Linked DNA regions of Caenorhabditis elegans. The protein of the gene in region 3 purifies or fractionates together with the protein of the main gene of each other region. This does not show direct contact. Each region holds a gene or a part of one and is shown on either strand. Other genes may lie near its edges.

Evidence for each region.
Region 1: the proteins of met-2 (region 3) and rme-2 purify together in Caenorhabditis elegans (affinity purification with mass spectrometry, with the first as the bait; one study listed by BioGRID). This does not show direct contact.
Region 2: the proteins of met-2 (region 3) and lin-65 purify together in Caenorhabditis elegans (affinity purification with mass spectrometry; one study listed by BioGRID). This does not show direct contact.

The regions. Positions count from the first base shown.
Region 1 is NC_003282.8:5,467,949-5,473,693, forward strand, and holds rme-2 (EGF-like domain-containing protein), read left to right. Parts: upstream 1-2,078; 5' UTR 2,079-2,080; coding exon 2,081-2,137; intron 2,138-2,185; coding exon 2,186-2,737; intron 2,738-2,784; coding exon 2,785-3,634; intron 3,635-3,679; coding exon 3,680-3,870; intron 3,871-3,919; coding exon 3,920-4,128; intron 4,129-4,172; coding exon 4,173-4,974; intron 4,975-5,023; coding exon 5,024-5,140; 3' UTR 5,141-5,226; downstream 5,227-5,745.
Region 2 is NC_003279.8:1,753,280-1,758,392, reverse strand, and holds the start of lin-65 (uncharacterized protein), read right to left. Parts: upstream 3,065-5,113; 5' UTR 3,064-3,064; coding exon 2,931-3,063; intron 1-2,930. Other genes in the region: Y71G12B.10 (hydroxymethylglutaryl-CoA lyase), read right to left, coding at 4,078-4,394.
Region 3 is NC_003281.10:8,373,522-8,381,422, reverse strand, and holds met-2 (Histone-lysine N-methyltransferase met-2), read right to left. Parts: upstream 6,124-7,901; coding exon 6,028-6,123; intron 5,959-6,027; coding exon 5,671-5,958; intron 5,624-5,670; coding exon 4,959-5,623; intron 4,891-4,958; coding exon 4,394-4,890; intron 3,891-4,393; coding exon 3,277-3,890; intron 2,977-3,276; coding exon 2,108-2,976; intron 2,057-2,107; coding exon 1,921-2,056; intron 1,873-1,920; coding exon 1,346-1,872; intron 1,014-1,345; coding exon 791-1,013; 3' UTR 560-790; downstream 1-559. Other genes in the region: R05D3.12 (Putative DNA topoisomerase 2, mitochondrial), read right to left, coding at 43-295, 343-466; lmbr-1 (LIMR family protein R05D3.2), read right to left, coding at 6,648-6,735, 6,783-7,156, 7,208-7,586, 7,640-7,901. UniProt on the Caenorhabditis elegans protein: Histone methyltransferase which is required for the mono- and dimethylation of 'Lys-9' of histone H3. This increases the efficiency of set-25-mediated trimethylation of histone H3 'Lys-9'.

The DNA.
Region 1 (5,745 bases), on a different chromosome or scaffold from region 3:
CTTTTGGAATCTTTTGAAACATTTTTCCCGTCGAAAAAAATCAACTGCAAACATTGAAATCCACGTGAAAGCAAAACTATTTAGAGAAATATAAAAATTAAATTCTAAAATGTTTCCACGTGAAAATTCCAACAAAAAAATCATGCTTGCCTGTTCATATACCTTCAGTTAGTCACTAAAATGCCAGACATCTTCGTACCTACCTGAAAATCCTAAGTCCTAATACCTACAAAATTTCCCGTTTCAGTTCCCGGAACCACACGGCTCAACGAGCCGAAAAACATCGAGGTCACGAATCACGAGGTGGATGATAAGACGACGGAGCGAGTCTATAAGAAGTTGAGGGAAAAGAAGAAGTCGACGGCAAAAGCGAAGCCAATCGATGCGAAGAGCAAGCTTCTGTTGGATCGAGTGCCGAAAAAACCATATCGATTGAAGCATAAGCCCGATGGTATGATGTTATGCGACGAGCCATCCACTTTCTACAAAACCAACAATCCGAAGAAGAAAGTTGAGACCTCTTTACTTCCCGTTGAGGATTCTTATGATCACGTTCGAAAATTGGAGGACATTAAGAAGGAGCCAGAGCAAGATGTGTACAAGGGTCAGGACGTCCCCACCTGGGCAGTAAATATAGAACCGACTGACGAGGACATGGTGAGTGAACTTTTTTTTTGAAAGTTCAAGTAAAAATTTATTTGCAGAAAGAGACCGACGAGGCGATCACGGTGAATACTGATCATTCGGAGATGTACCGTAACAAGAAGCTCAGTCTGAAAAGCATTCCCCCACGAAGCTTGTGCTCAACGAGCTACAACCGTTGGTGGAGTTGAAGAAGAGAGATGAAGTTCACTTTGAGACCAGGCTGGTGTTCTCCAACACGATTAGGAGTCTGTTGCTTGTCCATGAGAGTGCTCGAGCGCTGAGTGACGGAAAAGTGGATGATGAGTTTTCCGACAAGAAGGTGTCGTTTGATACACCGGAAGCTACATACATCTACTCGGTGAGATATTCCTGGCCGGGGTACAGCTAATTGAAAGTTTTCAGCGAATCAACCCAATCGAATCGGTCAAAGCGGCTCGTTCTGGAAATTGACACGCCAGCACTTCTACCACCAATACAACCATATCGAATTGGAACTGAACTTGATTTTGTTTTGCTTTTATCGATAAAGTGTATGTTCAGGGCTTACTTTTGAGAATTTTACTTATTTTAAAAAGGAAATGCGAGCAACAAAGTGAAAAATGTATGTCTGATTTTGAAATGCTCATTTCCTTTGAGGTTTCCATTTTTGAGTTGCCCGTAATTTGTATTTTTCTGAAGATGAGCAATTCAATTTTTAAATTGCCCGCACCTCTACCGTTTCCATCGTGTATTTTGTTAAAATATTCACAGATTAACCCATTTACCGTTTCATCCACCTGTTTTTCCTCGAAAAGATTCCAATGTTCTATAATTCTACAAAACTTCCCACGCGAGAAACAACTGTAATAAACTGAATATATTATCTATCGCATCGTTTTCAACCAGAATTAAGCAAGAGTTTCCACAACTTTAAACACCAACAACGCAATCCTAAATCATTTGCAAGATTTTATTTCAGATGCTACACTTTCTGCCTGAAAAAAATTCTGAAAAGCCGAACAATAATTCATGGTAACAATGAATGGCAGATACATCAAAGTTTTAGATGAACAATTTTTATGTATTAAATGTACATTTAAAAACAAATTGCACAACGATTCTACTACTGTCGCACTAATTTTACGTATGTCTGTACTTGAAGATTTCGAATTAATTTGTTCAATATTGTGTTAAAATGTTTGATTTATACACTCAAATCTTTAAAAGATTTATTGGAAAACATAAATGGTTAATTTAAACCAAAAATTTCCATCAAGCCTTTTCTGAAAACACTAAAATTATTTTCGTGGTGGGACCAGGCGCGCGCGTCCCATGATGTTCCTTTAATCAAAATGCATTTCTGTCCCGGCGGGAGAAATTGAATTTTCATTTTAAGGCGCGAATTTTTGCCTAAAAACGATGCCATTCTTTCATTCTTTTCATAATCTCACTCACCATGAGAACCATGCGCCTTGCTTGGTTGCTCCCACTTTTTATTCACATACTAATCAAGGTAATTTCCCCGTTTTTCTAGTTTTTTCAATGTATTTTCATGTTTCAGAACACAGCTCAAGCTCCGGCTGTCAACAACTCGACATGCGATCAAGCAAAGGAATTTGATTGCGGGAACGGGAGACTCCGATGCATTCCCGCGGAGTGGCAATGCGACAACGTAGCGGACTGCGACAACGGAAGAGACGAATCGGGCTGCTCATATGCGCATCATTGTTCGACAAGCTTCATGTTATGCAAGAATGGACTGTGTGTCGCAAATGAGTTCAAATGCGACGGCGAAGACGACTGCCGCGATGGAAGCGATGAGCAGCATTGCGAGTACAATATCCTGAAGTCTCGCTTCGATGGTTCCAATCCTTCGGCTCCTACCACTTTCGTTGGTCACAATGGCCCAGAATGCCATCCTCCTCGTTTACGATGCCGATCAGGACAATGTATTCAACCAGATCTCGTTTGTGATGGACATACGGATTGTTCTGGAGGAGATGATGAGGTCAACTGCACCAGAAGGGGACATGAAAATATGCAGTCCTCGACTGATTTTCACGATGATGTTCATCTTGTCGATCCAACCTTTTTCGCTAATGAAGACAATAAGGTAATTGTTTAATGTTTATTAATACCGTTTTAACTTTTATTTTTCAGTGTCGGAGTGGATACACAATGTGCCATAGCGGAGACGTCTGCATACCTGACAGTTTTCTTTGTGACGGCGATCTAGATTGTGATGATGCTTCGGACGAGAAAAACTGCCAAACTAATGCTCCAAGCGAAGAAGAATATCTTTCTGGGCAAGCCGATCACATGCATTCGTGCTCAGCAGCAGGAATGTATTCTTGTGGAACAAAAGGATCCGAAATTGGCGTTTGTATTCCGATGAATGCCACGTGTAATGGGATCAAGGAGTGTCCACTAGGAGATGACGAGTCAAAACATTGCTCCGAATGTGCCAGAAAGCGATGTGACCACACATGTATGAACACTCCACACGGGGCTCGCTGCATTTGTCAAGAAGGATATAAGCTTGCCGATGACGGACTCACTTGCGAGGATGAAGATGAGTGTGCAACTCATGGGCACTTGTGCCAGCATTTCTGTGAAGATCGTTTGGGTTCCTTTGCATGCAAATGTGCCAACGGTTATGAGCTTGAAACGGATGGGCATTCTTGTAAATACGAGACAACCACTACGCCAGAAGGATATTTGTTCATCAGTCTTGGTGGAGAAGTTCGACAGATGCCATTGGCAGATTTCACCGATGGTTCAAATTACTCGCCGATTCAAAAGTTTGCTGGCCACGGAACCATCAGATCGATCGACTTCATGCATCGCAACAACAAAATGTTCATGTCAATTTCTGATGAGCACGGTGATCCAACTGGCGAATTGTCAGTGTCCGACAATGGATTGATGAGAGTTCTTCGAGAAAATGTCATTGGAGTGAGCAACGTGGCAGTCGACTGGATTGGTGGAAACGTTTTCTTCACACAAAAATGTATGTTTATCTAATGTTTAAATTTTTCATTTGTGATTCTTACAGCTCCATCTCCAAGCGCTGGGATTTCCATCTGCACAATGAGCGGAATGTTCTGTCGCCGAGTTATCGAAGGCAAAGAACAAGGACAATCCTATCGTGGTCTTGTTGTTCACCCGATGCGCGGTCTCATCATCTGGATCGATTCTTATCAGAAATATCATCGCATCATGATGGCTAATATGGATGGGTCTCAGGTGAGTCGTCGAGTCGATCTGATTTAGTTCATTTCTAAATAAATTTCAGGTCAGAATCCTTCTCGACAACAAGTTGGAAGTTCCATCAGCTCTTGCCATCGACTACATCCGCCACGATGTCTATTTTGGAGATGTTGAACGTCAGTTGATCGAAAGAGTCAATATCGACACGAAAGAGCGCCGCGTAGTGATTTCGAACGGAGTTCATCATCCGTATGACATGGCTTACTTCAATGGTTTCCTATACTGGGCAGATTGGTAAGACATCTTATCTAATTTATATTTTCAAATTTATTTTTCAGGGGAAGCGAGTCATTAAAGGTTCAAGAGATGACCCATCATCATTCGAGTCCTCAAGTCATCCATACTTTCAATCGTTATCCATATGGTATTGCTGTCAATCACTCACTCTACCAGACTGGTCCTCCATCAAACCCATGCCTTGAACTCGAGTGCCCATGGCTCTGCGTTATTGTGCCAAAGAGCGATTTCATTATGACTGCCAAGTGTGTCTGCCCAGACGGATACACTCATTCCGTCACTGAAAACTCTTGCATCCCGCCTGTGACGATTGAGGACGAGGAGAACCTTGAGAAGCTTTCCCACATTGGATCTGCTTTGATGGCCGAATACTGCGAAGCTGGTGTCGCGTGTATGAATGGAGGAGCCTGCCGTGAACTACAAAATGAGCACGGAAGAGCTCATCGCATCGTTTGTGATTGTGAGGGTCCATATGACGGGCAATACTGCGAACGGCTCAATCCAGAGAAGTTCTCCGCAATGGAAGAGGAAGATTCGTCCTTATGGCTTATCGTTCTGCTTCTCATTTTTCTCATCATCGTTGCGGTAGTCGGAATTATTGCCTTCCTTTGGTTTTCTCAACAAGAGCATATGAAAGATGTGATTTCCACTGCCCGTGTCCGTGTTGATAACATGGCTAGAAAAGCGGAAGATGCTGCAGCTCCAATTGTCGAGAAGTTCCGCAAGGTCACTGATAAGCAGAGGAGCACGCCTCCTAGAGAAGGTTGTCAAACGGCAACAAACGTTGACTTCGTTTCCTACGAGACAAATGCTGAGAAAAGAATTCGGATGGACTCTTCGCCGGTGAGATCTTTTTTTAGATATTTTTTATATAAAAATTGATTAATTTCAGACGTCATACGGAAACCCCATGTACGATGAAGTTCCTGAATCGTCAACTGGTTTCGTCAGATCGGCTTCCGCACCATTCGCTGGAGTCATTCGATTTGAGAACGACAGCTTGTTGTGAATTCTACTACAAAATTACTAAATCAGATGTCTGTAAAGTATATCTATTTTTGCCTATTTATTGCATGAAAGTTGATAATGTCTACTAGTACTGTTGTTTTATACTCTTTAAATGACAATCGAGATGTGAAACACATTTCTATTTCTAATAGTTTTATTAGAAACTTGTTACATCACTGTTTAGAACACGGATAGACGGCGTCAAGAAAGAACAACAAAATCATTTGGAAGTGATTATTAAATAAGCGGAAATTATTTTTAACCATTGAAAGATGGGTATTTCTACATTCGTGGTTCAGATTCGGAACTTTGTGATTTTTGCATAAATAATACGGCGCTAGGTCTTGGCACGATAATTTTTTTTAATTGGAAACAGACGGTGTGCGCCTTTGAGAACTACTGTAACTTCAAACTTCCGTTGCAGATTTTTCGTCGATTTTTCATAGTGTTTCTCATGGTTTGTTAAAATTTATTTCTTTTTATTGTTTTAATTTTTTTAAATATTAAAAAATCTTATCGAAAAACTAAATATAAAGAATCGATTAAAATTCCGCAGCAGTCAAAGTTTGAAATTACAGTACTCGGCAACCATTTTGTAGTTACCAA
Region 2 (5,113 bases), on a different chromosome or scaffold from region 3:
GAAACATTTTTGGTGGCATTGAAACCTGTTTGGTGGCCTAGAAACCTTTTTGGTGGCATTGAAACCTGTTTGGTGGCCTAGAAACCTTTTTGGTGGTCTAGAAACATTTTTGGTGGCCTAGAAACCTTTTTGGTGGCATTGAAACCTGTTTGGTGGCCTAGAAACATTTTTGGTGGCATTGAAACCTGTTTGGTGGCCTAGAAACCTTTTTGGTGGCCTAGAAACATTTTTGGTGGCCTAGAAACATTTTTGGTGGCCTAGAAACCTTTTTGGTGGCCTAGAAACATTTTTGGTGGCATTGAAACCTTTTTGGTGGCCTAGAAAAATTTTTTGGGGGCCTAGAAACATTTTTGGTGGCCTAGAAACATTTTTGGTGGCATTGAAACCTGTTTGGTGGCCTAGAAACCTTTTTGGTGGCCTAGAAACATTTTTGGTGGCCTAGAAACCTTTTTGGTGGTCTAGAAACATTTTTGGTGGCCTAGAAACCTTTTTGGTGGTCTAGAAACATTTTTGGTGGCCTAGAAACCTTTTTGGTGGCCTAGAAAAATTTTTTGGGGGCATTGAAACCTGTTTGGTGGCCTAGAAACATTTTTGGTGGCATTGAAACCTGTTTGGTGGCCTAGAAACCTTTTTGGTGGCCTAGAAACATTTTTGGTGGCCTAGAAACATTTTTGGTGGCCTAGAAACCTTTTTGGTGGCCTAGAAACATTTTTGGTGGCATTGAAACCTGTTTGGTGGCCTAGAAACCTTTTTGGTGGCATTGAAACCTGTTTGGTGGCCTAGAAACCTTTTTGGTGGTCTAGAAACCTTTTTGGTGGCATTGAAACCTGTTTGGTGGCCTAGAAACCTTTTTGGTGGCATTGAAACCTGTTTGGTGGCCTAGAAACATTTTTGGTGGCATTGAAACCTTTTTGGTGGCCTTGAAACCTTTTTGGTGGCCTAGAAACCTTTTTGGTGGCCTAGAAACATTTTTGGTGGCCTAGAAACATTTTTGGTGGCCTAGAAACCTTTTTGGTGGCCTAGAAACATTTTTGGTGGCATTGAAACCTGGTTGGTGGCCTAGAAACCTTTTTGGTGGCATTGAAACCTGTTTGGTGGCCTAGAAACCTTTTTGGTGGCCTAGAAACATTTTTGGTGGCCTAGAAACCTTTTTGGTGGCCTAGAAACATTTTTGGTGGCCTAGAAACCTTTTTGGTGGTCTAGAAACATTTTTGGTGGCCTAGAAACCTTTTTGGTGGTCTAGAAACATTTTTGATGGCCTAGAAACCTTTTTGGTGGCCTAGAAAAATTTTTTGGGGGCATTGAAACCTGTTTGGTGGCCTAGAAACATTTTTGGTGGCATTGAAACCTGTTTGGTGGCCTAGAAACCTTTTTGGTGGCCTAGAAACATTTTTGGTGGCCTAGAAACATTTTTGGTGGCCTAGAAACCTTTTTGGTGGCCTAGAAACATTTTTGGTGGCATTGAAACCTGTTTGGTGGCCTAGAAACCTTTTTGGTGGCATTGAAACCTGTTTGGTGGCCTAGAAACCTTTTTGGTGGTCTAGAAACATTTTTGGTGGCCTAGAAACCTTTTTGGTGGCATTGAAACCTGTTTGGTGGCCTAGAAACATTTTTGGTGGCATTGAAACCTTTTTGGTGGCCTTGAAACCTTTTTGGTGGCCTAGAAACCTTTTTGGTGGCCTAGAAACATTTTTGGTGGCCTAGAAACATTTTTGGTGGCCTAGAAACCTTTTTGGTGGCCTAGAAACATTTTTGGTGGCATTGAAACCTGGTTGGTGGCCTAGAAACCTTTTTGGTGGCATTGAAACCTGTTTGGTGGCCTAGAAACCTTTTTGGTGGCCTAGAAACATTTTTGGTGGCCTAGAAACCTTTTTGGTGGCCTAGAAAAATTTTTTGGGGGCCTAGAAACATTTTTGGTGGCCTAGAAACATTTTTGGTGGCATTGAAACCTGTTTGGTGGCCTAGAAACATTTTTGGTGGCATTGAAACCTGTTTGGTGGCCTAGAAACCTTTTTGGTGGCCTAGAAACATTTTTGGTGGCCTAGAAACATTTTTGGTGGCCTAGAAACCTTTTTGGTGGCCTAGAAACATTTTTGGTGGCATTGAAACCTGTTTGGTGGCCTAGAAACATTTTTGGTGGCATTGAAACCTGTTTGGTGGCCTAGAAACATTTTTGGTGGCATTGAAACCTGTTTGGTGGCCTAGAAACCTTTTTGGTGGCCTAGAAACATTTTTGGTGGCCTAGAAACCTTTTTGGTGGCCTAGAAACCTTTTTGGTGGCATTGAAACCTGTTTGGTGGCCTAGAAACATTTTTGGTGGCATTGAAACCTGTTTGGTGGCCTAGAAACCTTTTTGGTGGCCTAGAAACATTTTTGGTGGCCTAGAAACATTTTTGGTGGCCTAGAAACCTTTTTGGTGGCCTAGAAACATTTTTGGTGGCATTGAAACCTGGTTGGTGGCCTAGAAACCTTTTTGGTGGCATTGAAACCTGTTTGGTGGCCTAGAAACCTTTTTGGTGGCCTAGAAACATTTTTGGTGGCCTAGAAACCTTTTTGGTGGCCTAGAAAAATTTTTTGGGGGCCTAGAAACATTTTTGGTGGCCTAGAAACATTTTTGGTGGCATTGAAACCTGTTTGGTGGCCTAGAAACATTTTTGGTGGCCTAGAAACATTTTTGGTGGCCTAGAAACATTTTTGGTGGCCTAGAAACATTTTTGGTGGCCTAGAAACATTTTTGGTGGCCTAGAAATCTTTTTGGTGGCCTAGAAACCTTTTTGGTGGTTTTTTTTTTCACAGGTTTCGGAGGCATTTTTCGACATTTTTGGCCATTTTCTCAGCTAGAAATTCCAATTTTCGAGTTTTAAGGTAATTTTTAGCGAAAATTGCAAATTTTTAGTGCAAAATTCAAGGTTTTACTCAAAAAATCTCACCTTTCTGCTCAGTTATCTCCATAATTTCTCCATCTTCACCCAAAAGCTCAGCAATCTGATCATCATTTAATGGAGGTATTGGATCATCTGAAGCTTCTGTATTTAAGATACTTTCGTCGATTACTTCTGACATTCTGTAAAATTTTGAATAATTTAGAATTTTAGATGGGAAAAAATGGCAAAAAAAAAAGGATTTAAAAAGTCAGAAATTCAAAAAAAATTATTTAAAAAGTTAGAAATAGCCGATTTTTCAGGAAATATTCGAAAAATTCAGGAAAAAACTTTGAAATCAGGGGAAAATCTCGAAAAAAATCAAAAACAAATCTGAAATTTTTGGGGAAAACAGTTTTTTTTTACGAAAAAATTCAAAAATTTTGTGCAAATTTCGAGAAAATCCAGAGAAAAATGTGGTTTCTTGATTTTTTTCAAACAATTTTTCGAAAATCTCCAAAAAATCGTGAAAAACTCGAGGAATTGAAGGGAAAACTAGCAACAAAAAATCACAAAAATTGAGAAAAAAATATAGAAATCAGCTGAGAACTGGGGAAAACTCGGGAAAAATCTAAATTTTTGGGGGAAAATCAGAAAATTTTGGGGAATAACTTGCTTTTTTCGAGAAAAATTTCAAAATTTCGTACAAAATCCCAGAAAATTCAGAAAAAAAAATGCGGTTTTTTGATTTTTTTTCAAATAATTTTCCGAAAATTTCCAAAAAATCGTAAAAAAATCGAGAGTAGAATTCGGCTGAAAACCGGCAAAACTCGGAAAAAATCGGAAAATTTTGGGGAAAAAACCAAAAAAATCGGTAAAAACCTGCTTTTTTTTGAGAAATAATTCAAAAATTTGTACAAAATCCCAGAAAAATTCTGAGAAAAATGCGGTTTTTGAATTTTTTTTTTTGCAAACAATTCAATTTTCCGAAAATTTTCAAAAAATCGTGAAAAAATCGAGAAATTGAGGGGAAAACTAGCGAAAAAAAATCACAAAAAATGAGAAAAAAAAGATAGAAATCGGCTGAAAACCGGCAAAACTCAAGAAAATAAAAATCTGAAAAAAGTCTCTAATCTCTTTATTATTTCCTAAACAACCGGGGTAATTTTTACACGAATTTTTAAAAATTTTTTTAAATTTTTTACAGCACACATTTTCAGCAGCAGCTTTTGCTCTTTTTAGCCATCATTGCAGCTCCAACTCTCGACCATTTATCATATCCGGCGGCTTCATTAAACCATTTTGCAGTTTCGACAACTTTGTCCAAATTGACACCAGTTTCAAAACCGTTTCCTTTCAAAAAATACAATAAATCTTCAGTTGCAAGATTTCCAGTTGCTCCTTTCGCATATGGGCAACCACCGAGCCCTGCGATACTTGAATCCGCACTTCGGATGCCTTTTTCGATGGAAATGAGCACATTTGCGAGAGCTTGACCGTATGTGTCGTGGAAATGAACTGCGAGTTTTTCGGCTGAAATGGTGGTGATTTTTTGAAATTTTTTTTTCTTTCGAAAATAATTTTTTTTCACAGTTTTCCCGACTTTTTTCGCCTGAAAATCAATCGATTTTTCATTGAAATAACTCAAAAAACGATAAAAATCTCAATTTTCGCTGCGAGACCCACAATCTGTGGGGAAATTGACCGAATATCATGATAAAAAAATTCAAAAAATTTTTTCTAGATTTTATAAGATTTTTTTTTGATAATTGAAAAAATCTCAGTTTTCCCCTAATTCCTATTTGAATTACCGCCAATCGGATTTGACCGATGGAGCGCGCTTGCATTATTGGAATTAATTAATTTTATTTATTCTCATTATTCGACTGAATTTCTTCATTTCTTCTGTTTTTTTTTGTTGGAAAATGAAAGAAATAAAAAAGACATATGCAAAATGTTTGTTAAAAAGTAACTGAAAATGCCTAAAACTGTATTTTTTTTGAATTCTGACGACGGCAAGCCTGAAATTAGTATATTTTACAGTTTTATAAATAAAAATATATTTTGTAAAACTGTGAAATATACTAATTTCAGGTTTGTCGTCGTCAGAATTCAAAAAAAATTACAGTTTAAGGCATTTTCAGTTATTTTTTAACAAAAATTTTGCATCTGTCTTTTTTATTTCTTTCATTTTCCAACAAAAAAAAAACAGAAAAGAAGAAAATCAGTCGAATAATGAGAATAAATAAAAT
Region 3 (7,901 bases):
CGTAGCTTTGTCGCAGAACATAAATTCCTGCAATATATTTACCTATCTAACCATACTTCCAACCGATTCATACTGGAATCTCTTGCTTTATTATCAGCCGCATTCACTAGAATCTCATCGAAAATCTTCAATAATCCAGGTGGATAAGTGACTTCTTTTGCAATCATTTTTCTATTTTCTGAGTCTCTGAGCCAAATAATTTGATCTTCTCGCATGGCGACACCTCCAATATATGTATCGGGTCGAAGTAATACATGTTCAGTTGGACTTTTCTTTTCATATTTTGCTGCAGCCTCTTCAAAAAGAAATATTTTAGCTAAAGTTTTGAAATTCGATTATTACCAGAAGCAAAACTAGTAGAAGGAATATTATTACAAAATGAACGAGTATTTTTTAAAACTACAGTAGTCCTATGTGACGTGGAAATGCAGAACTTCAAGTGACGTAGAACCCGTAATCGATGCATAACTTATGAAACCTAAATATATATATTCTATATTTTAAAATTGTAAACTGAAATAGATTGGAGACATCAAAACTGTACTGACTATTAAAAAATATAATGTCTTTTTTAAAACATTTTATTCGCAGAGAAAATCAAAATGAAAACCAAAGAAACTATTTGGCAAACCCTTACGAGGTAAATACGTGTTTAGATCATACATATGAGATGCTGTTTTCAAAGGGAGATTTTAAACGATTGAACAATAAACAAAATAAAAATTAAATAAATAAATAAATACTTAAAAAAAAAGGAAAACATAACTGGGAAGGAAATAACAACAATTCTTTAACTTTTCAGCAAACGGCCGGTGCAGTTTTCAGCTCCGCAGTGGCATGTGAGTTGTGTGGTAGCCGTCTGATCTTGAGTATATTGATAGTCCCAGGTTAGCTCATCGCCGGCTTTCACGTATTTTCGTGTGAAAAACGCGACCCATGGAAGACGAAGATCATGCGTATCGTACATGACGTGTTGAACGTGCACATTCGGATCGCAAGAGTGATTCAAGAATCTGAAAGTTATCGAAAATTTATGATTGTATCTTTGGAGTGCCGGTTTTTCAAATTTTCTCAATTGTATTATAGTCTCCAAAACATACCAAATGACTTTTTACGAATTTTAGTTTTTTTAAGATGGAGTAGAACCGTTTTGAAATTTGTTTCCTTTTTTTGCTTTTTTCTTCACTTTTCAACGTGAAATACTGTTTGTTAATTTTTCAGAATTTTTTCCATAGAGAAAGGTTGATAAACCAAAAGAAGAGGCAAACGGTTGGTTTGTCCATTTTTTATCATTTAAAGCAAAATCTCTAAAAAATTTTTTTAATGAATAAAATTGTGATCTTACCTTCCAAGATTTCCTCTCTGTTTTGCATCTATAACATACAATGGAAACGGCTCAAAATACTTATCCCAATTGAAAACGGGTTCGTCTTTACTTTCAATATTATCCTTTTCCATTGAATCTCTTGGAGTGGTGTCATCTTTCTCCACACTTCCTCCTTTACCGGATTTTTTAGATTGCTTTCTTTTCTGTCTTGTCAGCCGTTTTGTTTCTTCACCACTCTCCGAAGAGTCTTGACGTTTCACCATTTTGTTCATTACATCATCACCGGAGTCACCATCACTTCCTTCTTCGTCATCATAATCTGACTCGTCTCCTCCGTAACCAAAATCAGTTTCATGATCTTCGCGACCCTTTTCCAGCTCCACGGTATCCTTCAAGTCCAAATCAGCGAAGTATTGATCCGCATTTCTTAGTTCATCAGCCAAATCATCCGTCAGTATAGCACCTACATACGTGCAAATGAACGTACTTTGAGGAATATCCGTCAAAGCTCGGACTCCCCATCCGGATTGAGCAGTTTTGAAGATCTGAAGAAAAAACAATAATTGGTATGTATCATCGTTAAATAAACTCACATGCATAGGATACTTGATATTGTTCTGAACAACTCTGTTGTAACAAGACTTTCGATGGCATGAACACTGATCGTTGCATTCATAGAGTCCACTGATAACCTTACTGCTGAGAAGACGATTTTGATAGTGAGGAACTCTGAAAAAAAATAGTTTTAAAAATTTATTTTGTTTTTCTGAACTCTCATACAATTCGTCGTGTCCGTCGAATTGTAAATTATGGGGGAGTCGTTTCATTGCTTCAATGGACAATTGTTGGCATTCACACTTCGATGCGTCACTGCAATCACCATCACAAGAGCATCCAGAACAGAAATCTCGGCTAACACTCGATATATCCACTTGATCATTGTATTGGAATCGTCGTTTCGAATATTCCAATGATGGAGGCTCATCGTTATCCACGCTGTTCACTAGTGGAATTGGGATTCCTTCGGTTCCAAGCGAAAAATCAGCAACCTTCAAATATTTATCGTCAACAGTAATATAAGTGGCAGTATCGATTCGTGCATCAAATGAAAAACAATCAATCGTCAATAAACTTCTGGTGACATGAATATATTCAGAGACGTCGCTGATCTGGTGAAGAGCGGCTCCGCATGGAGAAAAGTAAATAATGTTTTTCTTCACTGCTCCCCGCTTCTTTCCAGTACTCATTGTGTACATAATTCGTCTCCAACCACACAAAAGAGGAGTATGTATTGGTGAATTTCGATGGAATCTTGCTTCATACGGATCCGCATCCATTTTCTGTAGACAATCTGGACCACATTGAGCATGAGCCTTGAGATTTTCCAATGGTGTTAGGACGGGTATTGGAACAATAATCTTGTTAAATAAGAATTGATTTTTCTTTCTTATTTCAATTTCTCTCTTCGATTTTGCATCATTTGTCGAAGCGACATTCTGATTGGTGCCCGTCGTTTTCTTTTTAACGACTTGTTGGTGATTCCTCTCTGGCATCGAACGAATCATGTCGGTTGGCTCGAACTGTGATTGAAGCTGGTCTTTTCTGCGTTGCGACAGATTGTTATTTGTCGAGATCATGTGCTTCTTGTGCTGAAATAATACAAAATTTTCATGATTTCTTTCTCCTTTTTTCATATTTTCGGAACCTTTTTTTTGAAAACGTTGAAAAGTTTGTGTCCATTTTATAGAAAAAACTTTGAAGATGAAACTTGGATATTATTAAAAGCAAAAATTGATTTCACAGCTTTTTTTTGGAAGTTTCCCTTTTCGATTTCTCTAACAAAACATCCAAAAAACCTTGATTATCAATTATAAGAAATCAAATCAAATAAAAATAAAATAATTTTAGAAAATCCTCGTTTTGTATCAATTTTTCAAATAAAATCTTACCGCTGCGCCTTCCAATCTATGAGATCCTCTATAGATTTTCTCGTCAATATGCTGATGATTTCTATCATTGCACGGAAAGTCTGTACATCTATTCCCAGGAGCCAATGGATTCGGTGCTTCGTGTCTCACAATAGCAAAAGCTCGATCAGTTCCAATCACTGTCACCATTTTCTTACGTCGATCAACAAGAGAATTGTACAAACAGATTCGCATTCCAACTGGCATCTTGAGAAGTGGCCATTCCGGAAATTCTTTCATAAAATCCCGAATATACGCTGATCTGTGAGATTGTCGAATCCAATGAAATGTCAAAAAATAATCCAGATTTCCTTCCTTTCCTACTGGCTGTCCAACCATAATAGCAATCTGAGCAGCATTCATCTTCGCAATCATTTCTTTGAGAGAAAATACACTTTTCTTTTCAGAAGCAACTTCATAACCTGGTTCACCAGGCATTGTCGGAGCTGACACGTATGCATCGGTTCCGTTGTCGAAGAAAATTAGAAAATCGGATCTATGAGCTCTGCGACGTCCGGCAGCTGTACCGGTAAGCCAAATTGTTTTTTTTCCAAATTGGCTCGAGGAAATAACTTGGCGACAGGCAACTCGAAGACCTGAAAACAATGATTTTAGATACTTCGATCATGAAACTGATATCTAGGCCAGGTTGAGTTTTTGGATTTTTTTGTTGTTTAATGGATTCTGACAAACATCTGCTTTTTTGGGACCACAAAAAACAACTGCTACACTTGAAACGTTTTTTTGTGTACATAATATATTTTACAAGTTTTTCATGAAATATTTGGATTTGAATTTGTTTCAAACTTTTTCAAATTTAGTGTTTAGCACCATTTTTTTCTAGATCAACCGAAAATCCAATCATGGAAAATTTTAAATGGTTTTTCGTTGAAAAATATACGGGACGAAAATTCTAGATTATCAAAATTTTGTCAATTTTGAGAAGAGAAAAACGGACTTGATAGTGAATCAAATTTTGATTTTTTTAAATTTAACACAAAAACTAAAATTTTCGATTTTCTAATAAAATCGAAAAACCGAAACCCTTATTCTACATAACAGATGTAATATTAAATATCAATTTTAACTTAAAACTCACCAACATCACCAAATGTATTCAAACTCGGGTCATACATTCCCTGCGTAGTCATGGCTAAATCTCTGATGTTACACTCTCTGATCTGACTTGTGTCGATAAATTTAACCTTATAGGTCATTGCATCCACACGATCCTGAACTATGGCGTATGTTAATTCTGCATCGTCAGAAGGATTGGCGCGAGCCAGACAGAAATCTCCAACTGTCAAAACGAAGAATTTTTCGAAGTCAGTCTTGGTGTCGTAAACTTTCTGAGCTTCGGCGATGGCGAGCTTCATCTCGGCTTTTAATGTCTCCATTATTGCACGAGAGTTGATAATTTCGGTTCGTTGATCGGATGTAAAACTCTCATTCACAGCAGCCTCAGTGCCATCAAAATCGGGAATTTTCTCGTTGACAAGTTGAATTATTTCATTACGGCTGCCAACGGCGTTCTCAAAATGTTGTTTGAATTCTGCTGATGTTGACTCGATTTCGTGGAAGAAGTCGTTGAGCTCTCTAAAAGGTATTTAAGTGATAATTATGAAAATACTTTCAAAACAGTTGTGAGTTTGATTAATACTCGCCTGCCAATTTTATCCTGCGCACCGTTTTCCTTCTGATCATCCCAGTATTTGACTGCCGTATCAATGATATTATTAGAAAATTCCACTTGATCGAAATTCAAGAGTAAATCATCAGTCGGATTTGAATCAAAATCTAATCGACACGGATGCCCTTCTTCGCGTAATCGAATCAGAGTGAGCATGAGAATTGCTGATGCAGGTGATGTGACAGTAAACTGCATGAATCTCAACGGTCCATTTTTCGAATTCAATCCAGTATTTGGATAATCAAGAAAAGTGACACATTTTTCTATACTCCAATCGTCGATACGATCATCACATAGAACATTAAAGTCGACATCTTCTTCGTTGTTGGTATCGAGAACGCCAATACAAATAGCAGCGACTAGCACGTCTTCATCAATTAATTCGTATTTCTGTGAAAGTCCCTCAAGTGATTCACTTTCCTTGAACGATTTGACAATTTCCTTGCATTTATCGACATTTACAACCGGTGAATCGCTGATAGATTCTGTCAGATAGTTCGGATTTGTGAATTCGAAATTTTTAAATTGTTCTGGAAGGAGCCTTGTGAACCACGATAAAAATTCGTTGATTTTCAGTCTTCGAACTGCTTGTTTTTCTTCATCAGTTTTGACTATCGAATCTTCTATAATAAGATCTTCCTGAAAATAAAATAATTTTATTATTGTTTCCTTTATTGCAATCTAACCGCCTCTTCCTGTTGCTTGAGTTCAGCTTCATCTTTGGCAGTCTTCTCCGCATCAACCCGTCTTTGTGCTGCAACAGCTTCTTGTTCACTCTCATTTCCGAAGAACGAATTAAGAGCTTGAGCTACTTGCTCAGATGGCGCATCAAGGAGCGCTTGGACATCTGAATTAGCGTTAAGAATCCCTTCAACTAAATCAGAATCTTCATCTGTTCCTTCTTCTGCTTTTCCATTATCCAGAATCTCCTGTATTTCTGTTTCATCGTAGTCGTCCACTGTTAGGTCAATTGTCTGAAAATCGATAAATTGAATTATATGACAATGAATCTCCGAAGCGAAATTTTAAATAATTTCACTCACAGCAGTGACGAATGAACTTTGTTCCTGTGTTTCCATCCCATCATCCGAAAGAATACTGCTCGTATCTACGTTATTCGATGGTTCTTGTTGGTCCATCTGAATATTAGATAAAAATTAATTGAGGCAATGCCCTGAAGAGTTGCAGATACATATTTCGGATTTTTTCAAACCTGAAGAAATAATTTTTACCTATACGGACAGTATTGATAATTAAAAGAAAAAATTAAAATGGTTTGTATTTCAGTTATTCTACATGAAAAGAGAAGGCGATAAAGAAAATCAGAGGGAAAATATGGTACATATACAAAAGCCCTGGTTTTTTTTGGCTTCAAATAGTTTGAAAAATGTTCCACGTTTTGATTGAAAGTAAAGCTAAACGGTTTCGACGACGAGAAAATTGCTGACTGAGGGGAAATACTAGGGAACATAATATATTAGGAGAATGCTTGAGAGAAAATGATGAAAAACAGACATGTAAAGCTAGAGGTTGGCAAAAATTGATGATTCTGAATTATTAGAAAAGGCGAGTAGTACCCGAGAAAAAAAATAGGACCTTGTTTTTGTAATGAAAAGATTAAAATGATGAACATGGGTAAGAAGTGTTGAAAAAGGAAAGAAATTCAATTGCTTTTCTTATCGCCTCTAAGGATCTCAATGGTTTCATCCGCATCACTCTCCCGTCTGATTCCACATCGTAGTTGACATATCCTGCAAAAAAATTAATAAGAATTTAAACTTTAAATTGCACAGCTTACCACTTCCAGATTTGCCTTCTCATTGAAGCAGTCAATTGATTGAAGAGAAATGCGACAGACAACACGACGAATAGAGTATTATAGGCAACAACGACTCGAAATGATCCAAGCCATTGGAGCGATGAGTGGGAGCCGAGAAGATCAAAAGTTGTCATTCCAACTGTGTTAACAGCTACTGGGAGAGCGGATGCAACAACAAGAACTATTGAAGAATTAATAATTATCGTTGGCATTGGAGTATCTTTTCGAACAGGTCGAAGAGAACGAAGAACCGGAAGGGAGTACAGCCCAACGAAAGATGTGATCATCACGTAAATAATGAGAAGAGTTTCGATGCAAGCCCCAAAAAGTCCGAATGAATGACGAGTGTGTACCTGAAAAATTATGTACTTTTAGAAATTATATTTAAAATCTCCGAAGCTTACCTCAATGTATTGAGCATAGACAGGTAAACTGCGATACCCGAATAACAATTTCAAGGTATTTGTAGCCACCATGATTAGAGAGCATGTCGTCAAAACTAACAAAGCAGCGGCCGCTACTGGGAATCGAAGACTCATGAAAAGTTTCACAAGTCGCCCCTGCTTCTCAATTGCTCTTTTGTATAATTTCGAGGATTTTACTGTGTGAAGAACTGGCTTCCAGATGGCTTCCTCGGATTTGGTGCGACGAGCAGGTGATAATGGTGTTGATGATGCCTCAGACGAAGATGCTTCATGGAAATCTCCAGAAGCAAAAGGATCCACAAGAAGTGATGAGGATGGATTGAGGCCAGTTTCGGAATTGTGTTTCCAGCGAGAAAATCTTAAATCAACATTGTTAAATAAAACTGTTTAAAACATACAAAAATTAAATACCTTGAAGAATAATAATTTGCCGAAAATGAGCTCCTTGGAGGTGACCCAAACCAATAATCGTCAGATTCAGAAAGGGATGACCTCTGCCGGCGAGCCTCTTTGACATACTCTTTCAGATTCCTATAGTCGAAATTTGGATTCTTTGGCTTTTTTGGAACATCTTTATCCCATTTTCGAACTATAGGTGTTGTCGCAGCATAATCATGTTTCCTCCTCTTCTTTTTATTTTTGGTGGGTGTTGAGTTTCCTAAATCTCCATCAT